Linked DNA regions of Caenorhabditis elegans. The gene in region 1 interacts genetically with each later gene. Each region holds a gene or a part of one and is shown on either strand. Other genes may lie near its edges. The genes, in order: gfi-1 and lec-6.

Region 1 (8,230 bases):
AACCAACTGCAACGTCAAGGAAGCTGCCGTAAACACCACAAACACTATTCCAGTTGTAAGTTCATTGCTTAAAAATAATCAAAGTTATTCGTATCATACCATTTCAGCCAACTGGAATTCCAATGATTTTGTGCCGTTCTTCCATCTATCTCAATGGAGGACCAGTCACAGCTGACTCTTACAGTGCTTGCGCTGGATCGTGCGCCTCAATTTCTTACACTGCACCATACAATGGTGGAAACCAGACACTCACACTTTACACCTGTGATCCAGTTACTGTCTGTACCTCCTTGAGTAAGTTTTTTTTTTTAATGTATAGCCAATATATTTCATAGCTGGCCATTATTTATTCTTCGAAATTCAAAATTAATCAATTCTAGACTTGACCAACTCGTGTGCTTCTATTGACGGCGGACTCTCCGGATGCTGTTGTAGCACTAATAACTGCGTTGGTCCAAACAATGGCCCAGGAATTGTAACCACACAATCACCAGCCACAACCACAAAGGGCTCATCTTCCATCACCTTCTCAATTCTTGCACTTTTCGCTGCTGTGTATATCGCTCTGACTAGACATTAGGCCAGCTTTAGATAATTTTTCTCATTTCTTTCATGTACATATGTGCTCTTTTCGCGCATAACTTTTTGTTTGTTCTTTTTTTTTAATTTTCTCCTTTTCTTTGAAGATTCTAAATCTTAATTGTTGAGCGATCTTTACAATAAAATTATTTCTCGACACAAAATAATATTCAAAACAAAAGCATTGCCACTCCATTAAAGGTGGCCTATCACATATCATATTTTGTCGGTCTTCCGTTTTAGCAACAACTAATACATATTGGTATTGAGCGCGTTTAATGGTTGCCACAGTTTTCAATTTTCAATTAATTCAAATTTCAGCTGTATAACCGTGGATTTTTTTAAATTAAACAAAAAATTATTCGAAAATTGCTAAAGGAAGATCGGGAGAAGGCATCGGTCAAAATTTCTCGTACTTCGTTTTTTTTCGCAATTTCCTTACTAATATGATGGAATACTACAGTTTGAAACAATAAACCCACCTTTAGGCCACCTTTAGACTACCTTTAACCCAAAGAAAACAACTTGAAATTAAACAAGAATTGTAGTGTTTTTAACTGATATTTGGCTAACTAAGTTTTTTTGTTGATCTGTTGTCAATATTACACTGGCACTAAAATTACCACAGTGCGCACTATGAAACCCAATTTTTCCAGCATGGAATTTTAAAATATCGATCAATGTTGTTTCAGATACATTATAAAATTTTTAGATTCAAGGCTCTCAAAGAAAGAAATAATTAAATTGAATTTTGATTTTTTGATATTGAAATTTCCTTTCGAATTTCCGTGTTTTATGATCAGTGCTGATAACAAACGAGTGAGATGTGGCAAAAGGTAAACAAAACAATAAGTGGTGTAGTTTTGGAATGTCAGTAAGCGTTTCTGAAATTACCTGATTTTATGGAAATGGGTGTATTTTTCCCACAAACTGCTCAAACTGGCATACTGTACTCAACTAGATAGAAGCTAAAAATCGAATAGCCCCAGCGGGAAAATTCTTAAAATTTAGATAAAATAACCAAATTATTACTTACATCGTAGTTTCACAGTATTTATGGTTAAAAAAATCTGAAAACAAATTCCGCATCCCTGTGGGCTTTTTTGAGTTTTTCAGTCAAGTTTTCTCGCACTTTCTCTTGTCTGTACTTTCCCTTTCATATTCTTACTAATATGACCGAGTACTGTAGTTCGAGACAATAAACCCACAAGACCACCTTTGAATCAACGAATTGACGCAAAAATGTGCAATAAAACCAAATTTCCTGCTCCAAATGCCTTTTTGAAGCTCTTTTTCTTTGTTTGTTTCTTTTGCAGCTGAAGTCAATAATTTTGTATTCTGCTTCACAAGTTTCGCCTTCAAGGTTCTGAGAATCCACCCACTTTGTGTTTTATCGAAACTACAGTTAACAAGGACCGATTGCCGATTATGAACCAATTTCGACAATTTTGACATTATAAGAGGCTTAATTCACTCAATTTACATTAGTCAGGTACTCAATTTCTTCTTTCCGCTCGGAGAAGTCGCACTCATGTTTTAACAATCATTTTCCTATTCTTCATTTGTTGAAATTGAATATTTAATTTGCCACTAACACATTCAAATTTCAGATGCGCTTGGGCATTTTCCTGCTGGCACTTGCCGGCTGTTGTAGTTTCGCTAGTGCTAAACAAAACTGCTTAGTCGGAAATCTAATTGTATCGGAAAATGTTATTACATCAAAGTCTGTTGAATTGGTACGTCCAACCGATATAAATTCTATATTTTTCCATTTGACTACTTCAGAGAGAATGCGAAGGATTGTGCAGAAAACAAACTGTCAAATCTCCAAGCGGAGGACTTGTTCTCTTGACATGCGAAGAGAACAAGCTCATGGCTTTCATTAACAAAGGACAGGATTGCTCCAGCAGTGAGCTTGAGACATCATGCTTCTGCGAGGATGAGTTGTGTAACAAGGTCGACTTGGAAGAAAATATTCCAAAGCCAATCGAAGTTATTAATGCCCCAAAGTGAGTTTTGTTATCACTGTTTTTTTGACAACTGATAGGAATTGAGGTGTATATCTTCTTTCTTTCTTTTTCAAAAAAAAATGGACCAATTCATTCAATTATTGGATTAAAAGATCTGTATGAGTACCAAAACAACAATTTTTCATCTTGAGTGTTTCATTAACACTTTTTCAAGCAAATGCAATTTGAGAATGTGTACCTTCAAATTCGTTGATTTAAAAAAAAAACTCTCATAAAATATTGTAATTTGAAAACTGCAAAAACCAGTCCAAAATTCCAAAGCTTTATTTTGCTATATTTAATCCAATTTCAATTTGTGACTACAGTCAACGTCAAACTGATAACAATAATGGAATAATTGTTTTACATTTGGGCGCGCTTCTTATCTGATTGTGCCAATAGCGCATGCAACACAACCATGAAATGTGGCTCGATAGCTCCTCGGCATTTAAATTCCGAAATACCAATCGTGTGATAAGAAACTGATACATATGTAGTATATTTTTGGCGATCGCCAAAATTTTCCTAGGAGGAAAATCAAAGAAAAATAGTAAAATACTGATTTTGTGTGTTTGCAGCAATATCCTCTGCTACGTCGGATTCTATGCCAACAACACTACTCCAGGATTCGGATCAGGGGACACCGTCACTTGCTCCGCAGGAAATGTATGTACCAGTGTTTCTGGAGTCTACAACGGATACGACGCTGCTGCCTACGCTTGCATGCCACAAGGACTTTGCGACGGCATCTTCCCAAATATTGACCCAAATAATCCAATCGCCTGCACCAATCTCGCTGGAACCAACATTCAAGGATGCTGCTGTTACAAGCAAGATTGTACTAGCCTCGCTCCAATGAACAACCCACCAACTCCATCTCCATGGAACAAGAACAACCAGACATGCTATCAAGGAATTTCCGTCAACGGAGCTCTCTTGTATGGAGGATCCTTCTCTCAATGCTTGGGAGAATGCGGATCTGCTCGTATTCGTACCACTTACAATGGAGCCAATGTATGGGGAGAGATCTTCGTTTGCGACCCAGTCAACGTCTTCACTGCTTTGAACCTCGACAGCGGATGCATGAACCTTGACACCCAAAACATCAATGGAGTCCCAACCGCTCTCATCACCGGCTGTGCCTGCAACAGCATGGACAAATGTATTGACCCAACTGTTGTTCCACCAGTCTACCCAGTCAAGCAGCTCAGATGCGCTGTCGGACTTTACAATGGAACAACCTGGCTCGGAGCTGAAATGAACTGCCAAGGACGATGTGGACGTGTCAGGTTCAATGCCAACGGACAACAAGTTTCATACTTCACTTGCATGCCATACGATGTCTGCGCTGGATTCGGACTTGCTTCCACTGAAGGACAAACCTACAATCCACCACAAGACGAGGAACTTGAGGTGTACTGCTGCTCTGCTAGCAACAACTGCAACGTTAACAATCCATACATTCTCGGACGTGTGAATAACTCTGCTGTGTCTACCGCCAAGTATCCAGTTCTCTGCTACGGAGGAATCTGGGTTAACGGAGTTTCCATCACCAACTCTGCTTACGGACTCTGCCAAGGAGAGTGTGCTTCAGCTAGCTTCACCACCACCTTCGCCAACCAAGTTCACAATGCTACCATCTACACTTGCGATCCAGTCACAATGTGCCAACAAGCCGGAATCTCCAACTCTTGCGGAAGCGTTCTTGGAGGAGTCAATGCTTGCTGTTGCGACAATGATCTTTGCATTGATCCAAACAGAGGATCTCAACGCCCACAACTTCGTTGCTATTCTGGAGTTTCTATTCCACAAGACAAATACAACACTGGAGGAGACCAATTCTGTGATGGATGGTGCGGATCCTTGAACTCTGTTGTCAACGGAAAGAACGCAACTGTCTACTACTGCGCCCCAGTTGGAATGTGCCGCTACTTCGGACTCGGATTCGGAGGATCTTACGGAAACTGTGGACAAATCCCAGGAGCTGACCCACAAGTCACTGGATGCTGCTGCTCAGAAACTGACAACTGTCTTGCCCCAGCTGGAGTCAACGTCACTGCCATCCCAGCTCGTCGTGACCCAAGAATTGTCTGCTACGAAGGAATCCATCTCAACGGACAAAACATCAGCCAGCCTTACTACCGCATGTGCGACGGAGAATGTGTGTCTGTTTCCCTTGGAGGAACCGTCAATAACAACTCTCACTACGCTACTCTCTACACCTGCGATCCAAGCAGTGCCTGTGCCGCGATGGGACTTCGTAACAACTGCTCCACCATTGACAACTCTCTCACTGCTTGCTGCTGTGACTCCAATGAGTGTATTGATCCAACCTACAACCGTGTTCCAGGAAAAGCTCTCAAATGCTACGTCGGTATCAGCACCCAGCACAAGGGAAACATCGCAGGAGCTGAAGTTCTTTGCGACGGATATTGTGCCACCGTTTCCGCTGTTGTCGGATCCGACTATGTCACCGCCTTCCATTGCGCTCCAAGATCTATGTGCCGTTCCCTTGGACTTGACAACTCGAACAACACTTTCTACTTGGACAGATTCGTCAACGCGTACTGCTGTGATGTCTTCGACAACTGCAACGTTGCTACGTCTGGATTCAACGTCACCATTCCACCACTTGCACCAAATGAGATGCCACGCGCTTGCTATTCTGGAATTTTCATTGGAGGAAGCCAAATCTCTGACGGAGGATGGACTGCTTGCAAGGGAGATTGTGTTGCTGTCAACTTGAACACCACATACAACGGAGTTGCTACCACTGCTTCTCTTTACACGTGTGACCCATCTTACATCTGCAGAATGATGAACTCAACAAACAGATGCCACCAACAAGAACAAGGATTCGAGACTTGCTGCTGTGACAGCGATGCTTGCCTCGATCCAACATCCACCCCACCACGTAAACCATATGGAGATGGAAACCTCTGTTACGTCGGAGCTTACTCCTATGATTTGAAGGGAAATACCATCTTCAATGCCGGAGGAGAACAATACTGCGAAGGAAACTGCGCATCTGTTACTTCAACACTTGCCAACGCTAACGTCACTGTTTACGCTTGTGTCCCAACATACGTCTGTAACAGCTTGTACGTCTATGACAGCTGCCGCACACTCTGGTATGATAGAGATATCACTGGATGTTGTTGTACCAATGGACCTAACTGCAACTTGAATCAAGTTGTTCCAAGACCTCCAATCAACAATCCCGGAAGAAGACGTCCACGTGTTGAATATCCAATCACCTGCCCAGCTGGTCTTATCGTTGACGGATTCAACCAAACTCCAATGGAATTCTCCGTTTGCTTCGGTGAATGTGCCTCTGTCAGCATCAATGCTACGATCAACGGAACTTTGCACACGGCTTCCTTCTACACTTGTGATCCATCGTCTGTCTGCTACCAACTTAAAGTTCATAACAACTGTACTTCCCCAGAAGCTGGAGTCACCGCTTGCTGCTGCGACAGTGATGCTTGCCTCGATCCGAACAGAGGAAAGACCGTTCCAACTCCACCACTCAAGTGCTACGTCGGGCTCTATTCTACCAGCGTGCCATCACTTCAAACCGGAGCTGAACAACTCTGTGACGGCAAGTGTGCCTCGGTTAACGCTCGCATTGCCAATGACAACGTGACCCTCTTCGCTTGTGTTCCACACTCTCTATGCCGTTCCCTCGAGCTCTACGATTCCTGCGCCCGCATGGAGCCATACTACCCAGAATTCCGAGCTTGCTGCTGTGACAATGCTGATAACTGCAACGTTCGACAGACCCATCTTGCCAACGTGATCAACACCACCATTCCACTCACTCCACTCAATGATGCTCCAATATCTTGCTACTCCGGACTTTTCATCAACGGAACCGCTTACAGCTCGGCTGGATGGCAGACTTGCCAAGGAGAGTGTGTCTCAGTATCCATCACATCTCAATTCAATGGACAAGCCGGAACCGCTGCTCTTTACACCTGCGATCCATCCCGCGTTTGCCGTAATTTGAAAATTCTGAACAAGTGCTCCACTCTTGAGAACGGAATTACCGGCTGCTGCTGTAACACCAATGCCTGTATTGATCCAACAGTCTATCCAGCTCGTAACCCAGGAAACCAACTTATGTGCTATGCTGGTATCAGCTCGAACTACATTGTTAATGGAAGCGCAGTTAACGTTGGAGCTCAAATTCCATGTAACGGACAATGCTCATCCCTCTCAGGAGTTGTCGGTGGATTCCAAGTCAACACCTATCACTGCATGCCAAACTCGATCTGTAACTCCCTTGAACTCTACGACAACTGCAAACCAGTTTGGAATGACAACCAAGTCACTGGATGCTGCTGTAACAATGCCAACAACTGTAACATTGCCAATACCACCATCACTCCACCACCACCACCAACTTCAGTCGACTATGCTATTGCTTGCTACACTGGACTTTATGTCAACGGTGTTCCATCTACTCCAGTCATTCTCGGAGCTTGCCAGGGACAATGTGCGTCCATCTCATTGAACACTACACTCAACGGAGTTGCCACCACAGCAACTCTTTACGGATGCGACCCAAGCACTGTTTGCCAATCTCTCAACATGAACAACTGGTGTGCCTCCCCAATCCCAGGAGTCTCCGGATGCTGCTGTAACACTGATCTCTGCCTTGATCCACCAAAGAACAAGACTGTACCATCTGGATTCCGCAAGTGCTTCGCTGGAATCTACGCTCAAGGAAAGGCCACTGGATCTGAAATCTTCTGCCCAGGAAAGTGCGCCTCAATTCAAGCTACCCTCAACCAAGACCCAGTTGCTATCTTCGGATGCGTGCCAACCCAATTCTGCAGACAACTCGAGATGTACGACGAGTGCAAACCACTTCCATATGATACCACAGTTACGGGATGCTGCTGCGACAACTACAACAACTGCAACGTCGATTTGGCTGGATATGGTGGAAAGATCAATACTTCAATGCCAGTTACGAACTTCCGTGATTATCCAATCGCTTGCTTCTCTGGTCTTTACGTCAATAACATGCCAATTTCCATCGCTGGTTGGCAAGCATGTAAGGGAGAATGCGCTTCTGCTACTCTCTCAACCATGTACAATGGAGCTCTCACCAACGCTACAATTTACACTTGCGATCCAGTCAGCACATGCTATCAACTTGGAATGAACAACAATTGTACTACCATTGAGAATGGACTTTCCGGATGCTGCTGTTCTACCGATGCTTGCCTCGACCCAACTGTTTCTCCACCACGTACTCCTAACCCACTCAAGTGCTACGTTGGTCTACAATCTACCTACAATTCGTTGAGCCTCGGAGCTGAGACCTATTGTTCCGGACAATGCGCTTCATTGACTGGAATCGTCGGAGGTTTCAATGTCACTACTTATCACTGTGTTGCTGATACTATCTGCAAATCTCTTGAGATTAAGGATACTTGTCGTCCACTTTGGAGTGACAGAGAAGTCACTGCCTGCTGCTGTAACAACGCGGACAACTGCAACCTCAAGGATCCAAATGTGAAACCAGGACCAGCAGTTCTTCCAGATTTCCCAACTGCTTGCTACCAGGGACTCCTTGTCAACAACCAAACATACGGTGCTCCATTGACTCTTCAAGGATGTTACGGAGACTG
Region 2 (3,258 bases), on another chromosome or scaffold:
TGCAGTCATTTTGGAAAGTTTTTGCGAAGAAAATAAAATTAAATCTAACTTTCATTGCAAAAAAACAATTAGAGTTACGTGGAAAGTTGATTTTTTACTATTTCTCGTGAAAAAAAGTGTAACGAGTGGATTTTTCGTAATTTCTTGCAATTTTTCAATTAGAATTTAAATTTTCGAATAATTGTTTTGAAAAACTTAATGGAAAACAGGCATTTTGGCTGGAAAATAGACAAAAACGAAGAGAAAATGAAAAAAAATAATTCAAATAAATTTTGTGCGTCAAATAAGGTGCCCGGTCCGCAGCCACAGTGTTTGCACCGAACAGGAACTACAGTACCCTAAAATAGTATTTTCCTCGATTTCAGTTTTTGAAACTTGCTTTAAATGAACGAGTGGATATAAAATAGAAAATAAAGCTTTATTAAAAGAAAATAAGTGAAAATCTGATTAAGAATTTTCAAAAAAAAATCTTTTCCGAAGAATAAATCGAATTCCTTCACTATTTTTTCGAGATAAGAAGTTTTAAGAGAAAATGCCCTTTGGAACTAAGTAATGATTAAAAAGTATTAGGGGACGCTAAGCACGCTAAAACTGATGCTTCATAATAATAAACTATGAATTATCAACTTTATAGCGGTGACCTCTACCATTACTGCCGAAATTGCGCGTAAAATATGGCGCTTCGACTCAGTGTCTGCGAATCCATTTTTCGGAATTTAGAAAATAGAAATATTCAAAACCAAGGTTTATTGATATGAAATTTGCACAAAAATTCAAAATGTATCATAAAGAAAGAGTATTTTAAACCAAAAATTAAATAAATTAGTGAGAAACATGGGCGGAATGAACATGAACTCCTCCCTCGATCTCAATGAGATGGACTCCGTGGGATGGAGTACGCTCGACAAAGTCAGCGAAGTGGGCTCCGTTGACGAAGATCTGAAAAATATAATAGTTTAAAGATTAAGTTTCAGTAGGTGAACAGGGCTCGAAATCCAATGCTCATCAGAGATGGGAGTACGAAAAATCAAACTTTTCCACGTGGTGTCGAAGTGTCCCATTTTGGTGTGATCTTCAAAAAATGCGGCCGAAGAGGCGCTGACTTCTCAACTGATTTCGCATGATTAAGAGTGTGCTGATGTCACGAAAAATTCCCTCATTTTTTGTAGATCAAACCGCAACGAGACAGTCTGGCACCACGTGCTTTGCACGAACACAGTCCGCCTTAACATTCTTAAGCCCAGAATCCAACTAACCGAGATAATTCCACCGTTGGACACAAACTCCAGAGTGTAGATCTTGTTCTGCTGGAATGGATTGGCGTGACGATCCTCGGATTGCCAACCTCCTCCGCTGGTCGAGTTGTTCACAACAGCTCCCTCATCGAATCTAGCGTTGAAGTGAAGAACAATGTCGTCTGGAGTGCGAAGATTGATGTGGAAACGAGAATCGGCGGATGTTGGGAGAAGAACGAGACGGAGGCGAGCACCGTTGGAGAATCCTTGCACTGGGATGTTCACTGGGGTTTGTGGGTTGAAGAATTCGTTGCGGAAGCTGATTCCGATTCCTCCTCCGATCATGGTTGATTCTGAAATCAACTGTGTGAGTTGGGAAGGGAAACATGTTAGGAGCAATACTAAGACCACTATTCGTATAAAATGTACATCTATGAGAATTGTAAGCTGATTCTTTGGCTCTAAATCGCATGTTTTATCACTAGGTGATGTAAAATGTCTAAAGATCGAAAAGCCGAGTAGTTTGAAAGTTGATAAGAGCGTATGAAAAACCCTCGGCAAAGTAAACAATTCTCGGTGTCTACTGGGGGAAAATGTTCAACGAAAAAAAAATAGAAATTGGGCAATAAATGTAAACAATCCTCATCTATTTATACATCACAGAATGGGCGGATTCTTGCCTATGAGTCATCAAATACGATTCTAGAGAATTCCTTACTACATGAATCATGGAAAAAAAGGCTTGAGTACATTGTACACCTGCCATCGTCTCTTATAAGCAGTGTTTCTTATCAACTTATTGATGAGTTGGCATATGCTCCGCCTCGAACTATTTCGATGATAAGTTGCTTGTTTACTGAACTGAAAAAGGCTTTTCGATGAAAAATTCAGCCCGGCATAAAGAATGTCACGAGTTAGTTTGGAAATTAAGATGTGTGCTGATAAACGTCAAGAGAGGAAGTAGTGATAAAATTCTAGAGTTTTAACAAATTTGCAAAATCTCTGAATTGTTTTATTTTAGGAGTTTTTCAACCTAAATTCGTATTTTAGTTATTTAATTGTTCCTCGTTCCACACGTCACCATTTACAACCCTTATTATCGAAGTGCCAAGTTACAGGGAGAACTTGGTACATACCAGCTCACCAAGAAAAACCGATCAATAATGTAATAAAACCCGCTGACATTGAAGACAGAAGATACCGCAATTTTCTTTAATAGCTTGGGTTTTTATTAGCGCTAAACAATATATAACGTGGCAGTTTTTTTAATGCTGACTTATAAATAGTACTTTTCCTTTCAATGAATCTTCAGAGAATTTCAATGTGGCATTTTCTTAAAATCTTCCTCCGTTAAGCCATATTGCAATTGTATGTGGTAAACTTTCCAATACTATAAAAATTGAACTTTTAAAAACTTCTGAAACTTGAGTTTACAGTAACTTAAAGCTTAAAGGTGGAGTACCGAAATCTGAGACTTTGCTTTTTAGGCTCAAAACTACCGCATATCGTAATGAGACATCTTGAAAATTTCTCAACACGTTATGGCAGTTCAAAAATCTGGAAAAAGGTCCACTTTCAGCTAAAATCAAATTGTTTCCAACTTCTCGGTGTCGCTGCGTCTGGAAGTTAATTTGTATTTAATTACCACTTTCTAATAAATAATGTGATCGTTTAATGCGCATTTATTCGTTGGTTTAAGTACATTTTCGGCCAGTGGGGCACAAATAAAAGCTATGTTTTTGTGCCCCAATGACCGAAAATGCACTTTAATCAAACAATAAACTCCTAATAAAAAACCACAATATTTATCAAAGAATGAAAATTTTATTTTAGCTGAAAATGGGTCTGTTTTTCCAGAACTTTGAACCGCCATAATTTTTTTTTGCGAAGTTTTGAAAACGTCTCATTACGAAATTCGGTAGTTTTGGGCTATTTTGGGTCTAAAAACAAAGTCTCTGATTTCGGTACTCCACCTTTAAGATTTTCAAGTATACCCAGGAGCCACGTGTCCGTAAAAGTTCAA

Evidence for each region.
Region 2: of gfi-1 (region 1) and lec-6, changing one enhances a phenotype caused by changing the other (phenotypic enhancement), as found in Caenorhabditis elegans (one study listed by BioGRID).

Annotation. Positions count from the first base shown.
Region 1 is NC_003283.11:6,393,881-6,402,110, reverse strand, and holds the start of gfi-1 (ET module), read left to right. Parts: upstream 1-2,179; 5' UTR 2,180-2,189; coding exon 2,190-2,315; intron 2,316-2,364; coding exon 2,365-2,588; intron 2,589-3,166; coding exon 3,167-8,230. Other genes in the region: bcf-1 (bacterial colonization factor), read left to right, coding at 1-55, 108-294, 381-580.
Region 2 is NC_003281.10:598,779-602,036, forward strand, and holds lec-6 (Galectin), read right to left. Parts: upstream 1,589-3,258; 5' UTR 1,581-1,588; coding exon 1,257-1,580; intron 940-1,256; coding exon 823-939; 3' UTR 732-822; downstream 1-731. Other genes in the region: Y55B1AR.2 (Flocculation protein FLO11), read right to left, coding at 1-9.